Astyanax mexicanus: one gene and its partners. The protein of the gene in region 3 purifies or fractionates together with the protein of the main gene of each other region. This does not show direct contact. Links are inferred from orthologs where the notes say so. Each region holds a gene or a part of one and is shown on either strand. Other genes may lie near its edges.

Evidence for each region.
Region 1: the proteins of anapc1 (region 3) and cdc27 purify together in Homo sapiens (affinity purification with mass spectrometry; 16 studies listed by BioGRID and IntAct, with this or other methods). This does not show direct contact. The link is inferred for Astyanax mexicanus from reciprocal best matches to the Homo sapiens genes ANAPC1 and CDC27.
Region 2: the proteins of anapc1 (region 3) and anapc7 fractionate together in Homo sapiens (co-fractionation; 6 studies listed by BioGRID and IntAct, with this or other methods). This does not show direct contact. The link is inferred for Astyanax mexicanus from reciprocal best matches to the Homo sapiens genes ANAPC1 and ANAPC7.
Region 4: the proteins of anapc1 (region 3) and cdc26 purify together in Homo sapiens (co-immunoprecipitation; 6 studies listed by BioGRID and IntAct, with this or other methods). This does not show direct contact. The link is inferred for Astyanax mexicanus from reciprocal best matches to the Homo sapiens genes ANAPC1 and CDC26.

Annotation. Positions count from the first base shown.
Region 1 is NC_064410.1:15,205,318-15,212,294, forward strand, and holds the start of cdc27 (cell division cycle protein 27 homolog), read right to left. Parts: upstream 3,020-6,977; 5' UTR 2,864-3,019; coding exon 2,837-2,863; intron 643-2,836; coding exon 567-642; intron 1-566. UniProt on the Homo sapiens protein: Component of the anaphase promoting complex/cyclosome (APC/C), a cell cycle-regulated E3 ubiquitin ligase that controls progression through mitosis and the G1 phase of the cell cycle.
Region 2 is NC_064419.1:1,302,014-1,308,934, forward strand, and holds the start of anapc7 (anaphase-promoting complex subunit 7), read right to left. Parts: upstream 3,011-6,921; 5' UTR 2,893-3,010; coding exon 2,792-2,892; intron 1,975-2,791; coding exon 1,788-1,974; intron 992-1,787; coding exon 872-991; intron 788-871; coding exon 676-787; intron 11-675; coding exon 1-10. Other genes in the region: proline-rich protein HaeIII subfamily 1-like, read right to left, coding at 6,485-6,657, 6,760-6,921. UniProt on the Homo sapiens protein: Component of the anaphase promoting complex/cyclosome (APC/C), a cell cycle-regulated E3 ubiquitin ligase that controls progression through mitosis and the G1 phase of the cell cycle.
Region 3 is NC_064414.1:12,395,337-12,403,058, reverse strand, and holds the start of anapc1 (anaphase-promoting complex subunit 1), read right to left. Parts: upstream 3,007-7,722; 5' UTR 2,636-3,006; coding exon 2,423-2,635; intron 678-2,422; coding exon 516-677; intron 1-515. UniProt on the Homo sapiens protein: Component of the anaphase promoting complex/cyclosome (APC/C), a cell cycle-regulated E3 ubiquitin ligase that controls progression through mitosis and the G1 phase of the cell cycle.
Region 4 is NC_064408.1:18,604,765-18,612,522, forward strand, and holds cdc26 (anaphase-promoting complex subunit CDC26), read right to left. Parts: upstream 3,024-7,758; 5' UTR 2,571-3,023; coding exon 2,490-2,570; intron 839-2,489; coding exon 656-838; 3' UTR 460-655; downstream 1-459. Other genes in the region: prpf4 (U4/U6 small nuclear ribonucleoprotein Prp4), read left to right, coding at 4,876-5,038, 7,471-7,657. UniProt on the Homo sapiens protein: Component of the anaphase promoting complex/cyclosome (APC/C), a cell cycle-regulated E3 ubiquitin ligase that controls progression through mitosis and the G1 phase of the cell cycle.

The DNA of each region.
Region 1 (6,977 bases), on a different chromosome or scaffold from region 3:
AATTTAATTTTAGATTATATTCCCTTTAGGGTCGCCAAGTGTTCCAGCGGTCTAAAGCGCTGCCACTATGATTGGGAGATTGCTGGTTTGAATCCCGGTCATGTAGCTAGCACACGCCTCCTCAAACACATGTGTAGTCGACCACCGGCAATGCTACATTAGCAGCAGTTAGAAAAGAGGCGATGGATGACTTCACGTGTTGGAGATGTCTGCTAGTCTTCACCCTATTTGTGTTTTGGAATCACTTGTGATGTGGGATATATAGCTGAGTAGTGGAACAATTGGCCAAGCTAAATTAGGAGAAAAACAGGAGAATGTACGTTATAGCTAATTTCAACAATGTTATCGCAATTGAGTCACGCTCTAGGAGATGCTTGATACAAACAAAACTACTCCAATCTTGGCTATACAGATTATATTATATATTTCCATGTTATTTTTTTTTCTTTTTTTAAGCAAAAGATTAACAAGACAGTAACACTGGTGTATGATCTACAGGACATAATGGAAATTAATGTTTAGTACTACTGATTATGTGTCATCATTGAAAAGATTTTGAACCCTACCTTCAGCATAGAGCCTCTCTGCCAGAAATACAGCATCTCTGTAGGCATAGTGGTTTAAAGCGTGCCAGACAGCAGCCTATAGACAAACAACACAGCAGACATAAATATATTACAAAAGGTCAAAGCAAGAGGTTGTGGATTATATGAAACCAAACTGCACGCCAAATCAATGTTAGTTTTACTGAAATCCCAGTGGTGACGGAATGGCATAGTGTCAGCTTAAGACATGGCAAACGTTAGTTTCTAAGTGTCCCAGATCTACTAGACCTAGGTCTCTTAAATTAGAGATAACATTTACAAAGACAGTGGACTAGAACATCAACCTAGCAAGCATTTGCGAACATCTAACCTAGTAAACTATAGGTTTAGAGATAGGGTCTAATAGGGTCAGAGACTATCAGTGCTTTGACATCCACCTTGTTGGTCCAGACTAACCTTTTTACACAAACATTTGGACCAGAGAGTCACTCCAAACCATCACTGACCATCCGTAAATTTTGCATTTCATTTTGAAATCAATGGACAAGAGTCTGGAGGAAGAGTGGAGGAGCACACAGTGCAAGCTGCTTGAGGTCTCGTGTAAAGTTTTCACAGTCAGTGATGGTTTGGAGAGTCACGTCATCTACTGGTGTTGATCCATTAGGTTATATCAATTCCAAAGTCAGTGCAGTGTTTTTCCAGAAAATCTTACAGCTCGCTTCCCTCTGCTGACAACTTTTATGGATATGAGGATTTTATTTTCCAATAGGACTTATCATTAAAATTTTATTTTGGCTGCAAGCCATAATCATCAACAATAAAATAAATAAACGCTTAAAATAGAGCACTTTGAGTAATGCATCTGTGTAATATGAGTTTCACATTGTGAGCTAAATTACTGGAATAAAGTAACTTTTCAATAATAGTCTATTTTTTAGATGCACAAGTATGGTTAAAATATTTACGTAATATTTGCTCTGTTTTAAGGTGCACATAAAAGCCAAACTGGCAGCTGGGGGTATTGATTAACAGGCATAAACAAAATAAACAAGACTGTGACTTGGCAGCAACACAGACTGATTTTTTTTTTTTTAAACAAAGAAATTTGTCGATAAAAAGGTGTCAGGATTTTATATTAAAATGCAGCCCACAATTATTTATTATGTTTATTTATTTGACAGTGGTAAAAAAACAAGCTAAAATGGCACAATATCAGTAAGATGAAGTAGTGCCAGTTGCTAAGTGGCAGCTGGGACCGAGGTATTAAAGAGTTTAATTACATATACCCTGAAAAGAAAATCAAATAAGGGGCTGCCAGAGATAGTGAAGCGCAACGTCTCAGCTGATGTGCAACTAGCTAACTAGAAACACGTAAAAAAATAGCAACGGACTAATAAGTATCTCCAGGTTATGTTAAATGCATGTGCTCATCTAATATGGTGTAGCTGGTTTTAAACCATTCACCTAACATTTAAAATAAACGTTAAGACACATACGCAAGCTGAGCTAATAAACTGAGCAGCTGGAGGACTAACTGGGTAGGTAACAGACATGAAGACAATATGAACTGTTATAGTAGGTAAGCAGCTCTGCGGATAGCCCGGCATTATTAACTATACAGTGGCTCTTGTTTATTTAGGTGACATGACAGCTATACGAGAAAGGAGCATGACAAATCCCAGCAGTAAAGAGTAATTTGTGAGCTAGGTGATTAAACACAGTAACATTACTAGCTAGCTAAATAACAGGCTAGCTCGCCTTGCTAACATGGGATACTCCTAGCTACTAACACTGCACGCAGCGGCCGATCCTGACAACTTGTAAACGGCCAGACGCTCGTCAGTAAACTTCATAACTTAAACACAATCTTTAGCAATAATTATACAGACAGCAGACCCGAGAGCTCTGAGGGGTAACTAGCCAGCTAACCTAAGCTAACGTTAGCTAACCAAGAGGAAAGAACGAACCCGCTAGCATACAGGCTAACTTTAGCCCCGCTTTCCAGCACCAGAGAGACCGAAAACAGCAGGTTTAGCGTTAAAATACTCTGCATTTCAGGTGTTTAAATCACGGTAATATCCCGTCTGTTCCACCCTGTAGGATTCAGGGGTGCGTTTGTTTAGAATCCTGTCAGACAGAGAACAGCCCTGCGGTTTGAGGAGCAGAGCGCCGAACAGGCCGAAGCCAGGAGCTCAAAATCACCCCGAGTAAAGTTGTGAGTTTGGCTTATGGGTGAAACTCTCCCCGCCGCTCCGGGTTACACACAGCGGCCTAAATCTGTGGCTGAATACCTGTACAGGTTCCTGCAACACCGTCATTCCGTCGCTTTGGCCGGCCTCCTGGACTGCCCCTCCGCGCTCCCTCTCCGCTCCGGTCTCTGTATGTTAGCCGGGGAGAAGCTAAATGCTAACAGCGTCAGATTTGAACAGCACTGACCGTTATCGGCCACCGAACACCGCCGATTCAAACTCGCCTGCCACGGAAAGAGCCGAGAACTGCCGGAAAACAACGAGCTCCTATGCATGCCATTAATACACATGTCCAAATGTTTGTGGACACACCTTCTAATGAGTGCCTTCCAGTATTGTAAAGCCCGGATAAGTTGCACTTATGCAATTAAAATAAAATAAATAAGTAACAAAATAGTCTTAATACTTAAATCAAATGTTTTGAGTTAAATGGTTAATAATCTTTTTAGAAGTATATTAGAAGTAAAAGTAACGTTAATGTTTTAATTCCTTAATTGCCAATTAGTCATGTGCCCAAACACTAAACATATTAATTAAGTGAAAATAATGTCAATATATATTTTTTCTTTTGTCTTATATTCTGTATATTGTTTCATGTATTTTATTAACCATATAATGTATAAATTAGTGCAGAAATCGGATGTGGCTGTCAAAATAATAATTTGCCTTTATTTTAAATATCATGGAAAATCATCCAGAATCATGTACAAATAGTTGGGTTTGATTCACACATTTGTGACACTTGTGCTAGAAAATATAAAACAAACACAATGTTGACAAGTTTTGTAAGTAGGGAACAATCGGAGGGGGTAAACATTAAGAAAACAAAAAAGTAAATAGCTCTGTACTATATATTTACACAGCGTGTGAAAGCCGATGGCAGCCCATTGAATTTCTAATATCATACTGCACACTGGCATGTATTCCATCTATCAATCAATCAATCAACATTTTTTTCCACTCTGTCATACATTAAGGCTAACCCTCATTTTTAATGCAGCCAAGCATTTACAAATTTAAAGGGACTGAAAAATAAGTTTAAATTATAAAACAAGAAAACAATGTAAGTTTCAATTAAGAAGAAATAAAATAAACTCAGAATAAAGGATATGCAGAGAGGCTAAAGAGATACATAAAAAATATAATAAAATAATATAAACACAATTAAAGAAATAGAGGACTAAACGAACACCACAATTATTATTAATTAAAGGTTAAAAAAAATAATAGACAAAATAAATTAAATAATAATAAATAATATTTTTTTGTGCGTATGTATTGTGTTTTTGTCATTTGGCGACACTTAGAGGCGATGCACTGAAATTACAACTATTAAGACATCCTTTATGCACACATTGTATTAAGCATTATTTGGGTAAAATAAAATAAATTAAATCAGACAATTTCATTCACTTACTGAAATAATCGTTTAACGTGTTTCCACTTAGCCTAGATTATATAAACATGCATAAAATGTTGCGCTGGAGTTGTTGGAGATGGCAGCGTTGGCATTATTGGAAAATATTGCTAATGGCCGAATTCATTGAGAGCGCATTTTTCGTGACCATTTCTGACTTATAAACCGTTTCAGATTTCCAAGAGCATAAGAGGATAAGAAAACAAGCTGAGTGCGTGATGGGTGGCTTCTTGGTGAGCAACTCATTTAAATGAAAGCATTTATTATCCATCCTAGAATGATACATTTAAAACATGGGTAATTATTAGTTATTACGCTACGCGTCTTGCGACACTTGCGTACGTGGGATTCTGCCTACGCACGGTTTGATAAATGATTTATCAAACCGTGCGTAGGCAGAATTCCACGTACTTTCTCTTAGTACATCACAATCAACTTGAAATCAAGCGCAAATGCACGAAAGCAGCACACTTGCCACGACTCCTCCCTCAATTACGCAGAGTATAATGTTATATTATTATTATTATTATTATTATTATTATTATTATTATTATTATTATTAATAATAATATTATTATTAATAATAATAATAATAATAATAATATTATATACGCATAGCGTATAATTACCCATGTTTTAAGTTTTATTATTCTAAGATAAATGCTTTCATTTAAATGCTTTAAATGAGTTGCCTACCAAAAAGACACACGTCACGTACTCAGCTTGTTTTCTTATGCTCTTGGAAATCTAAAACTGCTTATAAGCCAGTCATCATCATGGGCCAAAAAAACATAATGATCACGGAAAATGCGCGCTCAATGAATTCGGCCATTAGCAGTATTTTCCAGTAATGCCAACGCTGCATCTCCAACAACTCCAGCGCAAACCTGATCTAGGCTAAGTGGAAACACGTTAAACGATTATTTCTGTAAGACAATGAAACTGTCTGATTAATTTACTTTATTTTACCCAATAATGCTTACTTCAATGTGTGCATAAAGGATATCTTAATAGTTGTAATTTCAATGCATCGCCTCTAAGTGTCGCCAAATGACAAAAACACAATACATACGCACAAAAAAAAGGCGTACGCCCAAAACAAAACTTCCGTGGGGGAACGCACTTTCACACGTTCAAGTCAAATTTAGTACATCAGACCGTGAGCGTGAAATATGGCGTACGCAATGTTTTTGTGCGTACGCACCTTTAGTACATGAGGCCCCTGATCTCTAATACATTTATAATACATCACGTGATATTAAATGTGCGTGCACAACATCTCACGCTTGCTGTGATTTATAAAGAAATACTTGCCGTGAAAACGAGCGTACATTTCAGCAAGGTTTAAGGCGTCCGTATTCCTTTAGAAGATTGCAAAGAGAGCGGGAATTAGTGACATCATGTGGTAAGTAAATAGCAAGTAAATGCGCAAACTACCCTCATGCATACTAAGTTCATACCGCATAAATCAAGACTAAGAACGAAAGATTAAGCAGGATTAACCCATATTTGTTTAAATATATTTTTGTCTGCATGTATAATGTTTCAATGTTTGCTGTATCTTATTCTGCTTTATATGAAGTATTATTTTTTGCACTAACTTGTGTATTTCACGCTGTAATGTATTTCAATTTTATTTGTATTATCTGTTTTGTTTTATCTCACAATTTTAAAATTCAAAGGAGATGTATCTAAAGTATCAGTATTCAAATGTATTATTACTATTATAATTATTATTATCACAATTTTATTATTATTATAACAAATTATAATCCATAATAAAGAAAGAGAAAAATGTTTTGGGTTGCAGTTGCAGATAATTACGAGCATAAACAGCTGTACCTAATTGCAAAAAAAATAACAGCTCTACAAATAGATTTTTTTGTGAATGATGATTGCTGATTAAAGAGCCGATTTAGGTTTCAAGGAGCCATTCTCGAGGAACTGTGTGCTAAGTTGGGCACAGATTTATAGAGACCAATGGATCATGGAATAAATGTACATTTACAGGTTTTTTTTACAACTATTGGAAAATATGTGCAGGTGAAGCAGCATTTTTGTATCTGAACACTTTCTTCTAACCTCTCTAATAGTTTGGCTTGTTGAGCTACATTATTAACTGCTGCAGCTACATGTTGGCTAAAAGCATCAATTAACACATTCTTCCCCACCTCGACCTCCGACACAAGGACTTCTACTTTACAGTCTCCAAAATCTTGCTATTGTCCCACTCAGTATGAATGGGAAATCCCACTTTAAATATTCATTGAAGGATTTGCATGGACCTTTTATTGGTAAATGTGGGCGGTATAGAGGCAGAACATGAGACTGGGTCACCTGCGCACATTTATAATTTACAAAGAGGAAACAGCGCTCAGGTATACATACACATGCCATTTCCTGTTTTTTGTGCATGCGCACACATTCTCTTCAAAATTTACACAGAGTTTTATAAGTGAGGCCTTAGCACTATGGTTCAAATGAGATTAAAATGTCTGTAAAAATTTATATATGGGTCAATGATGTATAAGGATTTTCAACATGCCAATTTTAAAATTCTAACAATAAGTATATCTGTAATATCTGTTGCAATTGTTCCAAAATTTTAAATGTTGTGAACACCAACTCATATTAAAATTTTAGATTGAGTGATTTTAGTGTATTTTCATTTAGAATTGGCCTTGGCCTTACAAAATGTCATGTGGTGCGACTGTGATTTATGTTAAAATTAATACATTTCCTTAATATACTTTATTTTTATTTTAC
Region 2 (6,921 bases), on a different chromosome or scaffold from region 3:
GACAGCAGCCCTGCAAACACAGAGACAAGCACAGAGACGCACAGAGAGAGACAAACAGAGAGAGACGCACATAGAGACACAAAGAAAGACGAACAGATTAACAGAGTCACACAGAAAGATGCAAATAATGAGAGACAAACAGAGAGACGCACAGAGACAAACAGAGAGACGCACAGAGACAAACAGAGTGAAGCATAGAGACAAACAGAGAGACGCATAGAGACAAACAGAGAGACGCACAGAGACAAACAGAGAGACACACAGAGAAAAACAGAGTGAAGCATAGAGACAAACAGAGAGATGCACAGAGACAAACAGAAAGACGCACAGAGACAAACAGAGAGACGCACAGAGACAAACAGAGAGACGCACAGAGACAAACAGAAAGACGCAAATAATGACGAACAGAGAGACGAACAGAGAGACAAACAGAAGCACAGAGACAGGAACACAGAGAGAAGCAAAGGAAGATGAAGAGAGAGACGAAAAGAGAGAGACAAACAGAGAGACGCAAAGAGAGACACAAATAAAGATGAACAGAGAGACAAAGAAAGAAGCAGAGAGAGAAGCACAGAGACGCAAACTTTTCTTAGTAACATTTCTCAAAATCAATCCATTTTTTTGGCTTAAATTTGTATAAATTAGTGTTAATATTTTATTAGCAATATTACTCACCAATAATGGCATCGAGAGCGAGAGGACACTGACGCAGAACCTCCTTGTAGCTCGTAACAGCTGAGCGCTCCTGACCCGCCTTCCGGTACAGATTCGCCAGCATCATGTTAATCTGTTGGGATCAGATTAAATATACAAATAGAAATCACTCTCACAAAAAAACAACCAATCAGAGATCAATAGAAAGAGAAGACACCTTGGGGGTTCTCTGCCTGGAGGGAATCCCATCCAGCACGGAGATAGCGTCTTTATCCAGCTTCAGAATGGTGTAGCACTCCGCTATCTTATACTTCACCTCAATCTCTGAGGGCAAATTCTGTAAAATATTAATAAACACATTAAATACTTAAAGATTTAATTTCACTAGAAAGCACGTAGTAATTGATCTTTTTTAAAATACAGTAGGTCACTGAGTTAAACATGAAACTGTTCTTCTACTCTTATTGTCTGCATTAACCGATTAAAAAAAAACAAACAAATAGAAAAACAAGTGAATTGGGAAAAGCCCCCGGACTGACATCAACCTGTAACTAAGGATTCATGGCCTTGTTAGCCAATCAGAGGCAAGGCATTTGCATGGAATGAATATACTCATAAATAAAAGCTGAAAATGCTACCTTTCTTCCTCGCCCACTCCTCCACTGAACTAAAACAGCCTGAAACAGGAGCACCGGAGTACTTTTTTTTTTTTTTTTTTTTTTTACAAAAAATAATGGACACACTTTGTCAGTTCTATATTTTCATTTTTAGGTGTATATCATAATCTATAAAATATTTTTTTTCCATTAAAGCCTCCTTTTTTTAACTGTACTTTTCTTTTTTTTATTTTTTTTTTATATTCTTACATCAGGTTCATTTTCACTTTTCATAGAGATCAACTTTATTCAAATGAGCAATAGCGGCCACATTGGATCTAACCAATCAGGCAAGAGTAGACGGGTACATCACACACATACAAGCATCAGACATTTAGTTTGGTGGCCTTTTGGTATAGAATTTTGAAACCAAAAATGTCCTTTTCCTTAATTTTATCAGATACTCAATATAAAAAAGTCTCAGTATGTTAAATAAAGCAGTGTATCATTACATCACTACGGGAGCTGAGGTCTGACCTGAGTCTGTACGGAGGACGAGCCGCCGCTGCTGGACGGTCTCACTTTAGAGGCTTTGCTCAGCACTTTCTTCTGCTGCAGGGCCATGTTGTATTTGCAGGCTGCGTTTCTGTACTCCTTATCATGGAAGATGGAATCAGCGTGATACACCAGCAGCTGATACTTCTGAGCCGGAGAAAAGAGCTCCCTGTAGGAACAAGAACATTACATTTTATTATATTACATTTACAGATATTTACATCTAGATCTGATACAGTTCAGAAAACAGAACCGTGTTCTGATACCTGAATATCTACATTCAGTTTCAAACACAAAACAGAGATTGTCTATATGGGTGAAAAACTACCAACTATGAAGCTGAGAGAAGATGAAGAAACACAAATTAAGAACCATCACACAAATATCAGACATAGTCAGAACAACAGTTTAAAATGTCCTGAAGAAGAAAGTCGTCACTGGTGTACTACATAACAGGTGATGAACAGGTAGATTAGTATTCGGGTATCTGGTTATTTAGGTATGTATTTAGTTAGTTATTTAGGTTGAGGTGAGGTAACACCCATGGGTTATGTAGTTAGTTAGTTAGTTAGTTATGTAGTTAGTTATTTAGTTTAAGGTAAGTTCAGACTTTCGGGTTGTTGGAGCTCATGGTCAGCAGATATTTAGGTATTTAATTTAGTTATTTAAGTATTTAGTTATTTATTGAGGTATTTGGTAATTTGTACTCACGGGATGTTGGAGCTCATGGTCAGCAGCAGGTTAGTTAGTTAGTTAGTTAGTTATATACTTAGTTATGTAGGTATTTATGTATTTAGTTATTGAGTTATTTTGTAATTTAGATAGATATTTGGGTATTTGTACTCACGGGTTGTTGGCGCTCATGGTCAGCAGCAGGTTAGTTATTTATTTAGTATAGTTAGTTAATTAGTTATTTATTTAGTTAGTTAGTTAGTTAGATTAAGGTGATATTAATATTATTTAGGTATTTGGGTATTTGTACTCACGGGTTGTTGGAGCTCATGGTCAGCAGAAGGCTGCTCAGGATCCGGACATTAGAGTAAAGGCCGGCGGCCGCCATGTCCCGAACATAATCAATAACACTCATCTTCAGCTGATTAACTGATAAAACTGATAAAACTGATCAGAAATAATCAGAGTTTAATCCGCAGCGCTGAGAAACACAACGCAGATCAAAAGCGACAATTTCAAAATGGAAGGGAAGTGTTGCGCAGTTACATTTCAAAATAAAAGTCCCCACAGTCTGGTAGCCCAGTGTTTAATATAACTTACATTATTTATTTACATGTAGCTCATAGCTTATTGCACGTGTTTATAATATTATTATTAATAATAATAATAATAATAATAATAATAATAATAATAATGATACATTGAGACCCCTTCACTTCCGTTTCTGAATCAGTAAAAATATTGTAATTTAGAGCATTTATTTGCGGACATAAAAAAAATAATGCAAAGAAAACAAGTTCATATTCATAAAGTTTTAAGAGTTCAGAAATCAATATTTGGTGGAATAACCGTGGTGGTTTTTAATCAGTTTTTAAATCATACATCTTGGCATCATGTTCTCCTCCACCAGTCTTACACACTGCTTTTGGATAACTTTATGCTGCTTTACTCCTGGTGTAAAAATTCAAGCAGTTCAGTTTGGTGGTTTGATGGTTTGTGATCATCCATCTTCCTCTTGATTTTATTCCAGAGGTTTTTAATTTGGTAAAATCAAAGAAACTCATCATTTATAAGTGCTCTCTTATATTTTCCAGAGCTGTGTATGTGTGTACTCACCTCCAGCCGGCAGTATAAACTCTGTTTACTCCTTCTTTTCAGCCATGCTTTCATTTATATAATTTTTAAAAAGGATACAATATGAATATGTGAGGTCAAATATTTCAAATATTTGCAGAAAAATATTTTTTTTTTATCGAAACTTATTACATGTATAATACATTACATTTATGGCATTTAGCTGATGCTCTTATCTAGAGCGACTTAAGCCCTATCTGGACGGAATTAGTTTCTCAGGAGGTTCTGGGTAATTTAGCCTAAAAACTCACTGATCCTCCTGTTTTTTCAATTGCAGTACAGGTGCAGGAGTTTTGAAATATTTTTCACAGACGTCCCCCTGAGAAACTAATCCCATCCGGATAGAGCTTAACAAGGTTAATTCTATTACGGATTTGGGCCAATAAGAGTCCTTGGGCAAGACTCCCATTAGTGTAGCGCAGCATTCAGTTACCCAAACCTGGAATTGAACCCGAGTCTTCCACATGGTAGCTCATTGGCAGGTGGTGGTGTTATCCACTACACCACACACACACTAACTTAAATGAACACTTTTTTATTTTTACTTTCACTTGCCCCCTCCAGTTCCTAAAGTCATCATTACTTCTTAATTCCACATGGTGGAGCTATAATCAAATGAATAGGGTTAATAATCCTGTGTGAAGAATACTGGTTGTGAAATTCTGTGAAACTGAAACACCAAAAAATCCATAATTCCCGGTATTTACTTATTTTTAGGAGTATTTTTTCCTATTCAGTAACACAGATGCTGTGAAGTATCATAGAGAATTGTATTGCAATGTACTGAGTATCGCAGAAACACAGTATTGTGAAATCATTGTTATTGTGGACAATGTATTATTATTGTGATATCATATAGTCAGACATATGGTGGTGATCATCCATCAAATTAGAACGTCTTCCCGAGACAGTTAGTCCAGCAAAAGCAGTATAAACTAAATTTTAATACCCTCGATTCAGGTAAAAACAATAAAACAAACAGGTGTCCCAACAATTTTAAACATATAGTGCATCAGTTGCATTGATTATTTACTGGGACCTTGAACTACACAGCATTTGAATGAATTTTTTCCATTAACCAGAAAAATATAAAGCTCTGTAAAAAATGAAGAGATCACATCAGTTTCTGAATCAGTTTCTCTGATTTTACTATTTATAGGTTTATGTTTGAGTAAAATGAACATTGTTTTTTTGTATGCATCTTGGCATCATGTTCTCCTTCTTCTCCTCCACCAGTCTTACACACTGCTTCAAGCAGTTCAGTTTGGTGGTTTGGTGGTTTGTGATCATCCATCTTCCTCTTGATTATATTCCAGAGGTTTTCAATTTGGTAAAATCAAAGAAACTCATCATTTTTAAGTGCTCTCTTATTTTTATTTTATTTTTTACAAAGCTGTATATAGTTCAGGACTAAGCCTAAGCCCTGTTTGAAAGGAAACCAGCACTGTAACATCATTTCTAGTAACAAATTAGTCTCCTGCCATTGTACCGATTCTTTTATTCATTTAGTTTCAGACTCAGACCTTACTTAGGTCATTTTTATTTATTTGTTGTAACCACTATTTAATCCCAGCACTTTCATACCGTTTAGAGAAAGGGAGAATAAATCTCTCCGAAAGTGTCCTTAATATAAAATCCGTATAAAAAACACCACCACAATAAACAAAAGGAGAAGACTTATATTATATAAAAATAAAGAACACAAATCACGCCACCAGTTCAACAGCTTTAGGCACTTGGTATCAGGTTGTGTGTGAGCTCTGTTGTAGTTAAATAACAAAAAATGGACTTCAGAAGTGTAACATACATATACAACATATACAGCTCTGGAAAAAATGAAGAGAGCACTTAAAATGATGAGTTTCTTTGATTTTACTAAATTAAAAACCTCTGGAATATAATCAAGAGGAAGATGGATGATCACAAACCATCAAACCACCAAACTGAACTGCTTGAATTTTTACACCAGGAGTAAAGCAGCATAAAGTTATCCAAAAGCAGTGTGTAAGACTGGTGGAGGAGAACATGATGCCAAGATGCATTAAAAAAAACTGATTCAGAAACTAAAGTGGTCTCTTCATTTTTTCCAGAGCTTTATAAAACAGTCAATCATATGAATGTGTTTCTACAGTACATTTGCTATGATGGATATTTAATGGCATTAAACTACACACTTTACATCAGAGGACCGACTCAAAAACACAATCTTTTTCCTGAAAAAAGCAATTTTAATAAATACGGTTGGAAGACTTGGTTGGAGGTGTGTTTCATCAATGGGTCATTCATACACACAACATTGAACAGGAAGAATGACAAGAGAAAGAGGACAAAACCAGCAAACCAGCGTAATCCAGGTAAACCAGTCCAGGTAACTGGTGTTATCTCAGCAACAGGGGCAACAGAAATCTCCATGATAAGGAAAAGGCCCTGGTTAAAATCCCAGGAAAGTGCTAAACTGGTTGAAATGATCGAAAGCATTTGGTTCATAATAATAATAATAATAGTACTATTATTAATAATAATAACAATAAGTAACAACCACTGCCTGCAGATACCAAGACCTAGTGCCAAATGCTGAAAGCTGTGAAAACAGCGACTGTAAATAAACAAACACTCATAAAAACACTCCTTCTAAACTTCTAAAGTTCTTAGTAAACAGTCGTCCATGTGCATTGTTTTCCACGTATTGTTCCATGTATAAAAAACTCCACGTTTATTGTTCAAACTTCTTGTTTTTGACGTCTTCACAATTCAAAGCCATTTATTTCCACAGAAACTGATGTCACTGTGTCACAGGCAGGGGGCGCTCTAGAGACAGTGTGTCCACAGAGCCTGAGAAAAGAGTCATAACAGCATGTCCAGATGAAGAAGTCTTATCGCATCGAGTTCCTCATTAAAACGTCCAACATAAATCTTGTTAACAGAGGAGGTTCTCGACCCAGAGGAGGAAGATCTCGACCCGGAGGCAGAGGAGGTTCTCGACCCAGAGGAGGAGGAGGTTCTCGACCCAGAGGAGGAGGAGGTTCTCGACCCAGAGGAGGAGGAGGTTCTCGACCCAGAGGAGGAGGAGGAGGTTCTCGACCCAGAGGAGGAGGAGGAGGTTCTCGACCCAGAGGAGGAGGAGGTTCTCGACCCGGAGGAGGAGGAGGTTCTCGACCCAGAGGAGGAGGAGGATCTCGACCCAGAGGAGGAGGAGGATCTCGACCCAAAGGAGGAGGAGGACCTCGACGCAGAAGAGGAGGTCTCCACCCAGATGAGGGTCTCCACCCAGATGAGGGTCTCCACCCAGATGAGGGTCTTGAACCCTGAG
Region 3 (7,722 bases):
ATACACACGTGGGTGTATATATATATATATATATATATATATATATATATATATATATATATATATATATATATATACGTATATATATATATATATATATATATACATACACGTGTGTATATATATATATATATATATATATATATATTGCACACTTTCTGCAAATCCTTCATTTCACCTTTCAAATTTCACTGTGTTTATCTGCTATATGACATATTTAACTGAAATTGCTAATGAATATAATGAAAAGTATCAGGGGTGCCCAAACTTTTTCATACCACTGTATTTAAAGCATGACTATATAGCAATTTTATATCTTAACTGCTAATAACAGTTTATTAGCTGCTAGCTATTTCAATTTGATTTTATTTCTTCTTCTCTGTAATCTTTGCAAATATTGTTTTAATTAAGAAAGATGCTTATTATTATTACTATTGTTCTTGTATTATTCTTGCTATTTATTGCTCTTATTATAAGGGAAATTACTCAAAAAAGTCTATGAATATTGGCAATACCTGCTGCACTAGACTGTCCACTGTAAAAGCTTTATACACATTGGATGCTTGACTCTTGCTCCCCCGACTCCAGATAACCATATGTCCTGCCACGTACAGCTCCTCTTCATATTCAGCTTCATCAGTTGTGATGGTGGAACCCTTCCTAAGCTGCCAAGATTCCTGAAAAGTAAAGAAAATTTTAAAACAATGGATACTGTCCAAATTTCACCCCTGCTAAAATGCACATCAAAGTATTTTGCAAGATTTTGATGGTTTTACAATATATCACGTTTTTATATTATTATTATATATAGTTATAATATATAATAATAATAATAATAATAATATATATATATATATATATATATTATAATATATAGTTATACACAAGTTTAATATCAAATAAAACTATATTATTATATAAAAGCCATTAGAGGCATTAAAGTATTTAAGCAGCTGCTTATTAGTTTATCACAATTTTACTTCTACTTTCAGTTCACTGTGCATTTTTATCCTTCAAGTTACAGTATTAATATATTTAAACAGGGCTTAAGTTACTCATATTGTAATCAGCAACAGCAGAAGCTCCAGTCAGGACAGTGTGCGACCTCACTGAGCGGTGTTAGCTTGTTATGCTAAATGGTTAGCCCTAGCTAGCGAGCTCTGCTAGGGTGCTTTTTTGCCGGCACTGTTCTACACAGCACCCTGCAGCGCCTCTAGCGGCATGGCGGCATGTGAAAAATGCATACCGGTTCTAAATTCCCCTCATGTATACTGTATACAATTCTGTCATTAATGTAACGTAGTCCACTCAAGCATATTGAGTACTTTACTGTAGCGTACTGTACTGTAGTCTAGTGCAGTGTACTTTGTCTACTGTAGTGTAGTTAAACAACCTGCATGCTGCTCTGTAATGTAGTGTACTCTGTAGTGTAGTGCAGTGTACTGTAGTCTACTGTAGTTAGGCAATCTGCATAGTTTACTGTACTGTAGTACTGTAGTGTAGTAAAGTGCACTGTACTGTAGTGCAGTGTCGTTAAGCAATATGTGTAATGTAGTGTGCTTAGAGTATTAAAGTTGTCTGTGGTGCAGTGGTGTACTGTTCTTTAGTGTAATGTAAGGTAGCGTACTGTCCTTTAGTGTAATGCAGTGTATTTCAGCACAGTGTTGTGTACTGTACTTTAGTGTAATGTAGTGTACTCCAGCACAGTGTTGTGTACTATACTTTAGTGTAATGTAGTGTACTCCAGTGCAGTGTTGTGTACTGTACTTTAGTGTAATATAGTGTACTCCAGTGCAGTGTTGTGTACTGTACTTTAGTGTAATATAGTGTACTCCAGCACAGTGTTGTGTACTGTACTTCAGTGTAATGTAGTGTACTCCAGCACAGTGTTGTGTACTGTACTTCAGTGTAATGTAGTGTACTCCAGCGCAGTGTTGTGTACTGTACTTTAGTGTAATGTAGTGTACTCCAGCAGTGTTGTGTACTGTACTTTAGTGTAATGTAGTGTACTCCAGCGCAGTGTTGTGTACTGTACTTTAGTGTAACACAGTGTACTCCAGCGCAGTGTTGTGTACTATACTTTAGTGTAATGTAGTGTACTCCAGCGCAGTGTTGTGTACTGTACTTTAGTGAAACACAGTGTACTCCAGCGCAGTGTTGTGTACTATACTTTAGTGTAATGTAGTCTACTCCAGCGCAGTGTTGTGTACTGTACTTTAGTGTAATATAGTGTACTCCAATGTAGTGTTGTGTACTGTACTTTAGCGTAACACAGTGTACTCCAGCGCAGTGTTGTGTACTGTACTTTATTGTAATGTAGTGTACTCCAGCGCAGTGTTGTGTACTATACTTTAGTGTAACACAGTGTACTCCAGCGCAGTGTTGTGTACTGTACTTTAGTGTACAGCCTACTGTAGTGTACCTTCTGGCGCTCCTGGAGGCTGACCTCCTGGAGGGACCCCACGAGTCCGGCCGCTCCATCCGAGGACCAGAGCTCTGAGGCGGGCTGCAGCTGGCGCAGCTGGAGGTTCACGGCGTTCGGGTGGTTCTTGCAGTGCTCACGACCGAACGGGACAAACGGCTGCAGTTCCCCGGCGGCTATCATTGCGGCTCTCTCTTCATACACGTTCGACATGAGTTCCCAGTATCAGCATTATTTCTCCCACAGACATTAAAACAGCAGCGGCGGACCTCAGCGGCTCTACGCGCCCGGCCTCACAGCGGCAGCGGGCTAGGCTAAGTTGGGCTAGGCTAAGCTAAGCTAAGCTAGCATTAGCAGCGGAGCTACCAAACCATTTTCTTCAGCAAGCCCGCTAATAAACAACAGTCCGGCTCCTCTCTCTGAGCTCCCTCCTCTTCTCCAGCCGGGTCTCCCGCCGTTGCAGCGCGCGGAGAGTGAAGCACAGGGCGCAAACTGTCTAAAACCACCGCTAAACTGCAGCAAACCAGTAAACACACATTTTCAAACGCACGCGGACATCTTGCTTTCCCGTGATACTCGCGCTGCGAGTGCGGCCAATCACAGCGTCCGCCGCAGTCCCGCTGATCTCAACACGAGCCTCACGGTGATAGCGCATATTATATAAATCAGATATTCCTAAACACATGATTTATATATCTACAGATCCACACAGCGACCAGAAACACATTCTACTCCTGTTACTTTTCTCTTCTTCACACAACCGGTGATAGCTAACTAACTGATCAATATCTCCTCAACAGGTACAGTAACGTTACCACCCAAAAGTTTGGACACGCATTAAATTCAGTGTTTTTTTCTGTATTTTAAAATGTTCTGCATTGTAGATTTATAGTAAAGTCACTAAAACTATGAAGTAAAACATCTGGAATTATCTAGTAAACAATGAAATGTCAAACAAACCAGAATATGTTTTGTATTTTAGATCTTGCAAACTAGAACCTTTTGCTTAGATGACAGCTTTGCACATCTTGGCATTTTCTCAGTGACCTAGCTGGCACTGAGGTTGAAATATGGTGGAAGAAATGTCTGTTGTTGCTTCAACAGACGTTAAATGGTAGTGCAAATGTTGAATTTTTAACGTTGACTTAACATAATGTCCTCAACCTTCTGCCTTTTCAATTAACATTTTTCATTTAATCAGCATACAGTTTTAAAAAATGGTTAAATATAGGGATGAAAAAGTGTTTTTACTTACATTTGCAGTAATTGCTTTTTAATTTGCCACCAATTATTCACCGTATTTGGAGGTATGTTCATGTTCTATTTGTTTTACTGTTGTGTTTTTGAGATTAAATGTTGAATCAGATTGGTAAACATTCTTTTATACCCAGCTTTAGCACAGTGATGTAAGTTTATTGTGAACACTGTTAACAATATGATTTTCTAGTTTTAGCTACTTGTAGTAATTGCTACTTCTCATAGATGTATATCCAGAGAGAGGGAGAATAAAAATAAAATTGTTAATTTTTCATCATGGCATACAGTTTTTTTCCCTTTCATACAACTTTGAGCATCCCGAATGTGAGCTATGGTTTATCTAAGGTTGAACATATGACGTTGAAACAACGTTGCCATATCAACATTGATTCACTTTGCAAAATCAACACCATATCAACACCATGATTCAACATCAACATGGATTCAATGTTGAAATGTCAGCTGGGTAGCTTTTTGAGGTAGTCACCTGGAATGGCTTTCACTTAACAGCTTAATGAAACTGGCTATCATTAGGATCGCTCAAGAAAAGGAAGACCAAGAATAACCATCAGATAGCAGAGTATTTTGTTTTTTTTCTACAAGTTTACTACATGATTATTTATGTGTTCCTTTATCTGGATGACCTAAGAAAAAAATAAAAACATTAAATACAAATGTGTACCAAAACTTTTGACTGGTACAATCACTGAACATGGATGTCACAGCAATGGTGAGCATTTTTAAGGAATACTTGCAACTGTTATTGCTCTGGCACACAATACGTGTACAATATCTTTAATAATAAAAACATACTTTGGTGCACATGTTTGAATTATGTGAGTTTTCTAATCAACACAAGATTAAAAGTAAAAAATATAAATACACCTACCTAGCAACCAGGCTGGCGTGAGTTAGCTGCAATGCTAACAGCTGGCCACTTTGTCTGGGTCTCAAAAAAGCTGTTTATCCCCCTCAGGTAAAAGGAAATGGGTTTGAATAAGTAGAATAAGCATGGTGATGTGGCACCTTTCTTTGGGACAGCTGTGCTGCTAATTTAAAAGTGTATGGAATTTTGAAGAAAGAGGACTACCTCCAGGTTCTTCTGAATAACCTTAGATTATCAGCTAGACTGGTGGAAACAGGATACAATTGGATGTTTCAACAATACTATTATCCCAAACACACATGAAAAGTGGTTGTGGAGAGAATTAATCAGACTTTAATATTAAGCTTTTAGAATGGCCTTTCCGAAGAGCCACATCTCAACTCTGCACTGTTGTTCCTTCAGGCTCACACACAGTATTACTATGTAATCAGTTACCTTGTTTTAACAGCAACCACAGAAGAGGTTGATCTACAACAGGTCAGAAAAACCATGAATAACCCTGTGGACCAGCACAGGATTTATGGTTAGTAAGTCACAGTTTAGCCCTTGAGTGATACTTAATGAGTGTCAGTGGGCTTTGAGACAGCTGCAAATTGATCTCTAAAGCAATTTAGTATATAACATGTTCTTTAATTGCAATACAGGGTGTTATTCATGCATGTGTGTGTGAAAAAGAGAGAGAGAGTATGATTTGGTTGTGCTCAGATCAGTCTGCGTCACTGAGTGATATAGCAGGTGTCTGAGGGGACGAAGAAGAGTCACGATTCCTCAGTTTAAGTAAAAATCCGTTTTGGTTCTCCCAGTCCAGAAACAGCAGGGCAGCAGTGAACAGCATGATGACTCAGGGTGCGGAAATGTTCTGTCAATTAAATCTGACCTTGTTTATTTTTATCAGGTCTCTTATTATTACGTATTTTGTACTTTATGTTTGATGTGCCTGATGAAAAATCCAATGTAAGTCTAGCAAGTGGCTGACCACCAGTCAGATCGAGTGTCTCAGCCCTCGGTAGGCAGAAGCAGTTTCTCAATGCACAAGTACACAAGTCTGGACTCCCGTACTTGGCAAGTACAGACTTTGGAAGATCAACTCGCAAGTGCGTACTTTCGAGGACAGGAGGAAGCAGGACGGTTGTTGTGTAATTGGAACAGCTGTGTACTTGATGACGTCAACCCTTAGAGGAGCGGAAAGCGTTGTTCCAAAAATGTAGGAGCAAATTTTCACCTCGCAGCTTTCTTAATAAATAAACTACATATCTACATACAAATCTAAACCCCTACATTCTCACCTAAAAATAACTTAAAACATTATTTAGCACACAGCAGTACTATTTTAAAAACGTAGAGGTGCTTTCAGTTATGTACCTTCTCCTCCGCCAATACGCTGATACTCCTGCGAGGTGCATTCTGGGATATCGGGCTGTGAGAAGTGCTAACAAGTCACCTTCCATGCATCCTAGATAGAGTGGTAGGAGCAAGAACACATCCGAGTATTTGTTGTGTACTTGGCTAACTGCGATCTTTTAATTGGAACAGTACTTGGGCTGCGACTGATGACATTTCACGAGTCCACAAGAAAAGAACACAAGCACAGACAAGAATGCAGATTGAGAAACGGTCAGAGATTAGTGTGGCATAGTGGCTTAGTGTTTAAAATGTTTTACTCCCAGTGTTGGGGTCTTGGGTTCAACTCCCTTTCTGGGTGGAGTTTCTGTGCTCTGCCACTCTGGTCTGCTCTGTCTTGCCTTGATGCTAGCTTTGTTTCTTTGCTTTTTTTTACTTCTCAGCTTCTACATTTATCTCTGTTTTCTTCTACTTTGCTCATCACACTTATCAATCCACTTTTAACTCTGGACTGTTGGAGGAAATTTTATTAGGAAAATCTATTTATATAGCGTTTTTTACACCTAATACCTTACACCTTTGTACTCAAAGAAGATTTCCCAACACTTCAGTGACAGCAGAGACACACAGAACCTGTGGCAGGGTATCCAGTCTATCACAGGCTATAAACCACATCCACAGACCTGCGACAGCGACACATCTCTGCTGAACGACCTGAATGGGTTCTTCGCAAGGTTCGAGCCACTCAACAACACACCCGCCCAGAAATCCATCCTTCCTCCTGGTGACCAGGTGCTGACGCTGTCCCCAGACAGTGTGAGGAGAGCATTCAGCAGGATCAATGCTCGGAAAGCTCCTGGGCCTGACAACATTCCTGGCCGTGTGCTGAGAGACTGTGCCTGGGAACTCGCAGAGGTTTATACTGACATTTATAACACCTCTCTGAGTCAGGCGGTGGTTCCCACATGCTTCAAAGCCACCACCATCATCCCGTTCCCAAAGAAGGCATCGCCATCATGTTTCAATGACTTTCGTCCAGTTGCACTCACCCCCATCCTCATGAAGTGCTTCGAACGACTAGTCATGCATCACATCAAGTCTTTGCTCCCCCCCTCCCTGGACCCCTACCAGTTTGCTTATCGGTCAAATCGCTCGACCAATGATGCCATCTCCACTGTTCACTGCCCTCACACACCTAGACAAGAAGAACACCTACGTCAGAATGCTGTTTGTTGACTTCAGCTCAGCATTCAACACAATCGTCCCCCAACAGCTCATAGACAAACTGGACAGTCTGGGGCTGAGCACTTCACTGTGCAGCTGGCTGTTAGACTTCCTGACTGGAAGACCACAGGCAGTGCGGGTTGGCAGCAGCACATCCAGCATCACCACACTGAACACAGGGGCTCCCCAAGGATGTGTGCTGAGCCCCCTTCTGTTCACTCTGCTGACCCACGATTGCACACCAGCACACACCTCCAACCTCTGTCAAGTTTGCGGATGACACGACGGTGTTGGGTCTCATCAGCAACAACGATGAGTCACACTACAGGATCGAGGTGAGCCGCCTGGCCTCCTGGTGCAAACACAACAATCTTTGAGGACCTCTCCTGGAGCACCAACTCAGCGTCACTGGCCAGGAAGGCAAATCAGCGTCTCTACTTTCTCCGCAAGCTGAGAAGAGCTGGAGCCCCCACCCCCATCATGACCCCCTTCTACAGAGGGGCCATCGAGAGCATACTGACCAGCTGTTTCACCGTGTGGTACGGGGCCTGCACAGCATCCTGCCGCAGGACCCTCCAGCGCATCGTGAGAG
Region 4 (7,758 bases), on a different chromosome or scaffold from region 3:
TTAAGAAACCATTATTGTTTTCTTAAACCAATGCACAAAATCATTTGAAGCGCCTTTCGTTTTAAGAGTGTGGTTATTAATATGTGTCAGTAAGCAGATAAAGACTGAATAGAAGTGACTAAACCTATGTTTACATCATCATCGAATAACTGGGATATTCTAAAGTAATGTAATCAGAACAGTATCTGGTATAAATCTGTTTGTCTCAAGTGTAGAATCAATGTTATAATGTTTACAGGTCAAACATACCTGCATAGTCTGAAATACAGTACTGTAATTAATTATATAAATGATAATGAAATGTGATTAAAAGCATGATGTGACTTCTGATTCCCTGTCTTGTATTTAAAACCTGATAAATCAGAATAGATTAAGATATGAAAAAGCCTGATAGATCAGAACAGATTATGTGTACTTTTAAGTTTTATAAAAAAAAAAAATAAAAAAAAGCAGATGACATTTTAGAAAATAGAGGGAGATTTTATTGATCTCTAACAAATAAGAGAATGCTTGCAAAAATAAGCAAGGAAACAACTTTGCCTGGTTAGTCCTTAAAATGCAGTGGTTATGACTTTGATCCTCTTCTCAGCCCATAGCAAAACAGGTTACTTTAAAGTCATAATGGCACTGTTGCACACTTTACACAGTCCTCCGCTCAAAACTGAAGGTTTCCAAATAATGATGGTAGAGTGTTTGGCTTTGGGTGAGGTTTGTATCCGATTCGCTCGTGGATCATCTGCTCTCTGGTCTTGCCCTCAGCACCTCCTGAAGCACCGCTCATCTCACTTGATGTTGGAACTCCAACCACATCCACTTCATCTCGCTGTTTCTTCCGACTCTAAAAACGATAAAAAATAAAAAAATAAATAATGTAAAGTGACTTTACAGTATCTGAGACAGACATTTATCACAAATCATTTTAGCTTAAAATGCCACAAGTCCTACCAACATTTTAGTTGTGTTATATATCCAGACATATCCTATAAATCCAGACATTCTGACTAGTCATATCAGGTCAACAAATCCAAGTGTAATTTTGACTAGTCATGTGTTTCTATTGATTTACATAAAATTTCATTGTCAGAATTTCAACATTATCCGATTAGCCCTTTAGGCAATGTTAAATAAATGTTTATTTAATGATTGTTTTTGCTATCAGGGATTTTCAGAATGGTTTATGCCAAATTTTATAGTAGTTATCTCAGCTGATATTTTTAATATTATTATATATATCCAGATCATATCATATATATGTAAATATTTTAGGGCTAAAACATTGATTTAACGTAAATGACGCCAACAATTTCATAACCTGCAGTTTTGACAGTTTGTTCTAGAAACCAGGCCAGAACTAGTGATATGGAATGTAAAAAACTTTAAAGCATTTTTATTCTTAAACTGTTAAAACAGAGCTGTAGAAGCAAAAAAAAACTTTTAGAATGTGTTACTTTTATGTCCAGCATTAGGCCAATGGACGAACACATATTTATACCCTCTCAGGATGAAAAGAAAAATGGGTAGGTTCAGACAAAATGTGCTATCTTCTGAAGTGTGTATCAGATTCATATATAATAATAATATAAAGTTTTTTTCCAAACCAGCAATTTCAAATAGTTAGGTTAGGTTAGGTCTCCTTCCTCTAAAATCCACTTTTTCTAGTTTTTGGTGAAATACAATAGGTCTCTCTGAGTTGTATATGCATGCTGCACAAGAAACTCTTCCTCAACCTCCATCTGTAGTAGCTAATAAAAGAAAATATTCAGAAAAACGAGTCGATCAGGAAAAGCACCCATGTCTACATCAATCTCGTCAGATAGGACGTAACAGAGCTAGAAACAGCATTGCAGTTTGTTCCTGTGTTATTTGTGCAAATATCACATCAGTGTTATATGCTTTGCCCAGTAATTCAGAGCTAAGGAACAAATGGTTAGAATTTGTCTATGGAACATTACCAGCAAAGTACAATTGAGATAGGTAGGTGTATTTTTATAACAGTTCTGTTTACACTTGCTTCAACTTCCTCTCTGCTGCGGGGTGGATTGTTACTTTCTGGACCTGGACTACCCACCTCTGTTTGTTTACGTAGGTTTACATAGGCTCTCTGGTGGGTCAGTGGCTGAACTGCACTTAGCACGGCATTATACATGTTGTAAAGTAACATATGACATTGCAAAGACTGTTATTAGAGTAAAAATGTTTTTATTTTAAAACGTTTCTAACTGTTGTCCGCCTCCTGGTCTCGCAGTGCTGTTAGCCAATTAAAGGCGATATGTTTGCATGTATGAATATTCATAAAATCCTATCGTTTCTCCGTTCAGCGCCTCCACAGGACTAAAGCATGGTTATAACAGATCACCGGAGCACTTTTTTTCTCAAAACCAGCTCACGTGGCATTCATTCATACTATAGGCCACAACCAGACATTTTACAATTTATTAAAAAACGATGGAATGAGACCTTTAATTAATTAATAGAGTTGATTAACTGACCTCAAGCTCCTTCTTCACTCCTTCAAACTCCTCGGTATCGTCCAGCTTCAGCTCCAGTCGTGTTGGTTTTCGGCGAAGCATGATTTTAGGAGGCTGGGTAGCTAATACTGCAGTTAACAGCTATGTATAGAACTGAAATACACTGTTTATCGATATTTCACAGCTGTTTCCGCTGTAAAACCACGGTTCAGCACAGCGCTGGTTATAAGCTGTCACCGAGACAGCAGAAAAAACGTCATTTTCAACAAAATATTATGGAGAAATGACTTTTTAAAGAGCTAAGTTAAAGCTAGCTTAATATAGTAAACAGGTCCAGTATGATAATGCTGCTGTGTTTCTAACAGCACGTTATTTACCCATAAAGGCGTTTACTACTGGATCTATAGCTGTTATATAGCTAGCGTTAGCAGTGTCGAGAACAGCCCCGACTTAATATCGAATTTAGAGTATAAATATCGATATATACATTTAACGCCAAGCAAGCAAGTTGGCGGTTGTTGCCTTGTCTGCCGGAAGTTGGTAACTACTCTAGCTAAGGGTTTCTGGGAAATGTAGTTCCGTTTTGTATTTTTTTTTCCATAAAGGCTAGAATATAATAACATTACATTAACATTTTTATTTTCCTTTTAACATTTTTATTTTCCTACTATTATTATTATTATTATTATTATTATTATTATTATTATTATTATTATTATTAATAATAATATTATTATATAATGCAAAATAATGCAAAGATGTTCATAATAATAAAGTTTTAAGAGTTTAGAAATAAAAAGTTTTTAATCACAGTTTTCATGCATTTTGGCATAATAAAAGACCACTTAAAAAGCCATCAAACCAAGCTGAACGGCTTGCAATTTAGCACCAGCAGTGACATAAAGTTATCCAAAATCAGTGTGTAAGACTGGTGAAGAAGAACATGCCAAGATTTTTTTTTATATAATATTTATTTAAATTATTTAAATTTTATTTATTAAAATTATAAGATTTTCGGGGTTTTCCATCCGCTATTGATTTCTAAACTTAAAACCTTATAAACTTGTTTTCTTTGCCATATTTGAGATCTGAAAGCTGAAAACATATTTATAAAATCCCCGCTTCAGTCCTCCAGATCCAGTCTCCGGTAGGTAGATGTCGCTGCGGCGAGCAGCGCTGCTTTTCTCCGTTCAAAGCTGTGACGAGTTCCTGCGCGCCGCTCAGATCGTGGTGGTTGTGTCGGAGTGGGCAGTGTGGGACTATGAACCACAACTTTACTTCAGATTCTGATTTAAATAAGCTGTAAAAAGCCTCTTCGTTTCCTGGACGCTGTGTAGTTTCAGTAGAAGGGCTCGTAAACTCAAAAACAGCTGGATTAAAGTGTTTTCTCGGGCAGGTTGGTGCTGATTTGGTCTTGAATTGTCTGCACTGGTGCCTTTTTAGTAACGTTACTGTAGCTGTAGCGCCTGTGTTCGTTTGAGTTGTGCTATCTTGTAAAAACGTGCTACTCTAGGGTTTATTTAAAGGTAAAAATACAAAAAGCACCATGTTAGAACATGCAGCCGGCAGTGTAGGTAAAGTAGTTATTGTGGTAGCCTAAATCACTGTATCAAGGAAGATTCAAGACAATAAAATTTTAGTTGTTAATTATTATTATTATTATTATTGTTATTGTTATTATTATTATTATTATAGTGAGCGAGCTTAGGTTGTTTATCCAATATATAAAAAAAAACATTTATTTTGTAAAACATTGCACATATAAACATAAACACCTGATGGACATTAGACTTCATTTTCATATTCATTCTTTGTGCATTGCCAATTTGTTTAGTCCCTGTAAGATAGGGCATTTATTTATCTAAAATACTTTATTCTGTTAAGATTATTCATATTCTCTATAACTATTTTGATAATTATTAAATATATTACTACTGTATAGTTATTTATAATACTTATTTATTGTTTAATGTGATTGGGTGCTCCAATACGTTATAAAGAGTATTTAACTCTGTTAATAAAGCTGCTTATATAGAACAGCTGGTAAGACAAGTAGTCGACAAGTCTAGGTAGGATATGTGGATAGATGTTTGGATCACTGTAAATATATAGGATAATGACATAGTTTTTTCATAATTTATATTAAAATCTCAATTAACACTTAAACAATAAGAGTGAGTTTAGATTGTATAACACCAATGGAAAACAGAATTATCATGAAACACAATAAAAATGGAAAAAGTGAATCAGCGCAAGCGCAGAGCTGCTAGTTAGTGAATATTGATGGTTGGCATAAAATAGAACATTCATTCTTATGGAGCCCCTGTAAGTTAAACCCAGTTTAAACCTTTTAAAACCTTTTTTCTTTCAAACAGGTGGTGCTGAACTCAGTTGAGCCCCTTGAAAGATGTCTGATGAAGATGAAGCCCCTCTGGTAAAAAGGTCTCGGATCTTCTATGGAAGTCTTGAAGAAAAGGAGAGGGAGCGTCTTGGCCGTGAGGGATCCTCAGGCTCTGGGAAAGATGCTATTAAAGCTGGAATTGAGGCTGGAAATATTAACATCTCCAGTGGTAAGACCTTGCAGAGCTGCTTGAAAATATTTATTTAAATGTAACTCATTAACTCACTATAATGTTTTAAGATGGAGACACTGTGGTAAAATGTTTTATAGTTTAAAAGGTATGAGATTCATAAAGAATACACAAGAGCAACAACATCCAGTGGATTTTTATCATCAATTAGAGCAAGTAATAGAGAGAGAAACCAATACCACAGATATTCAACCAAACATTATTTCAGATTACCAAAAGCTAAAACTAACTACATGTGCAAAACAGTAATTTATAGAGCTATTAAAGAGTGGAATTATTTACCAGAATCATTAACTAAAACTGATAGCAAAACACAGTTTAAAAAACGAGTGAACAAAACATTATCTAACTAATATTAAAGACAGTAAATCCTAACTATTAAATTGAACAGTGGAGGAAGTTGTGCAAGGGAAAATCAGGATTGAATAGAGGTGATGAGGTGTCTAGGACACACTAGATTATTATTTCTTTGTTTGTTAGTTTTCTGTGTAACTATTTTGTGTAGTTAATATTCACTTTTTATGTATATATATATGGAAATGTGAACATTCTTTTGTACGTGTGTGTGTGTGTGTAAAACAAATAAAACACTAGAAAATCTTCTGCCCAGCAAACTAGGGCTGGACCCGAATATTCGGGTATTCGGATATTCGTTCGTTGAGTAGGTATTCGGTTTTTAATTTTGGTATTCGGATATTCGTTTTTTTCCTCCTTTCCAGAGTTCCACCTCACTCTAACCACTTCTGTTCTCGCGGGTCCCGTCAGAATATCTTGCGCGCGGGACAGAACTGAACTGTTATTGGCTGGAGCGGGAGTTTAATCCAGACGATGCGGGAGCAAATTAATAAATAAAGTAAATTTTAAGCATTAAATGTAGTTTATTTAATTTATATTAGGAACGTGGGGCGGGAGCGGCAGAAATGTGTATGTGGCGGGCGGGCGCGGGATTAAAAGAAGCAATTTTTTTGCGGAGCGGTAACGAGACAGAAACGCGGGAGCGTGGAAGAGTGGGTTTAAAAATCAGTCTCGCACAGACCTCTATTATACATGATAAAAAAAAATGCAGGCTCTTCGAAACTGATTTATATAATAAAACGTAAGGGGTAATGTGGCAACAGTAGGGGCTAAATCGGTTACAAAAGCCTGGCCTACAAAAATGATGTCTGAACGAATTTCCTCTTATCTAATATAATTTAAAATGGTTTAAAAATATAAAATAATTTCTAAGCAAACGAAATATTTAATATTGAGCTTATAGCCCAAGTGCAAAAATACAAAATCAGTAATATGCCCTGCACAATGCTTAAACCGAAATAGACCAAGTACAATAACGTCATTAACAATGACTTTCCTCTACTCTAATATAATTTAACATGGTTTAAAAATATAAAATAATTTCTAAACAAACGAAATATTTAATATTGAGCTTATAGCCCAAGTGCAAAAATACAAAATCAGTAATATGCCCTGCACAATCCTTTAACCGAAATAGACCAAGTACAGTTTACAATGACTGTCCTCTAATATAATTAACAATGTTTAAGAATATAAAATACTTCCTGAACAAACGTTTTTTTTGTTTGTTTTTTTAAGCAAATAGCCTAAGTGTGAAAACACAAACAGCAATTTACTGGGCTGGCTTGCGCAGCGGAGAAACCGTGCAGCAGCAGCCTCCTAGCCTGCTTACGCAGCGGATAAGCCGCGGTGTGGGGCAGCAGAAATTCCGGGATGAAAACACAAAGAAATCTGGGCTAAAAACACAGAAAAAATATGGGGTGAAAACACAAAAATCCGGGATAAAAACACCAAAAATCCGGGGTGAATATGTCTCGTCAGTCAGAGCAAATTGAACATTTTTCAGTGGATTAAAGGGGCCGTGATTTGCTTTTTTTATTTTTATTTTTTTTACCTCTTTTTTTAAAAACGAATATTCGAATATTCGCTTCGAATCAGTGCCGAATATCCGGAGCTCAAAAAACGCTATTCGGGCCAGCCCTACAGCAAACACACAGTGCTGTCTGCTTTCTTACAGTGTTGCTATAACGCAGTCAGAAGGTCTTTCTGGTTTTCTGGTTTTGTTCAAAAACTTCATTATTAAGTAATGTTGCCATATGATATTAAAATGACATGTTGGCAACTTAGGTAAAATTCTATGGAATTTCATTCACAAATATGTCCTGTTAGGTTTAAATTATATTTGTCTGGTTTCCTATGATAGTTCTTTTTTACCTAAGGAAAATAATCAGTTGGTGTTGCTTAGATATGATAATATCTAAATATATACTAACATGTATATATTTGAGAAATATGTCAAATGGTATATGAAGTCAGTAATGCTTTTCCAGTTTTCTGTCTGTTTATTCATTCTCATCTTATTTCCAATAAGTGCAATTTGTGGGTTTATTTTCCAGGTGAGTCATTGGAGATCGAGGATCGTGTGAATGAGAGGCAGGCGGAGGTCTTGGCTGAATTTGAGCGCAGAAAAAGAGCCCGGCAGATTACAGTCTCTACTGATGATGCTGAAGTCAAAGCTTGCCTGCGTGCTCTGGGAGAACCGATTACACTGTTTGGCGAGGGCCCTGCTGAGAGACGAGAGAGGTGAGTTCACAGTGCATCAATACTACTATCAATCATTACAATTGAGTCTAGTTTGCCTGTGCACTGGCTGTCTCTTTAATTTAATTCTCCATCTAATTAGT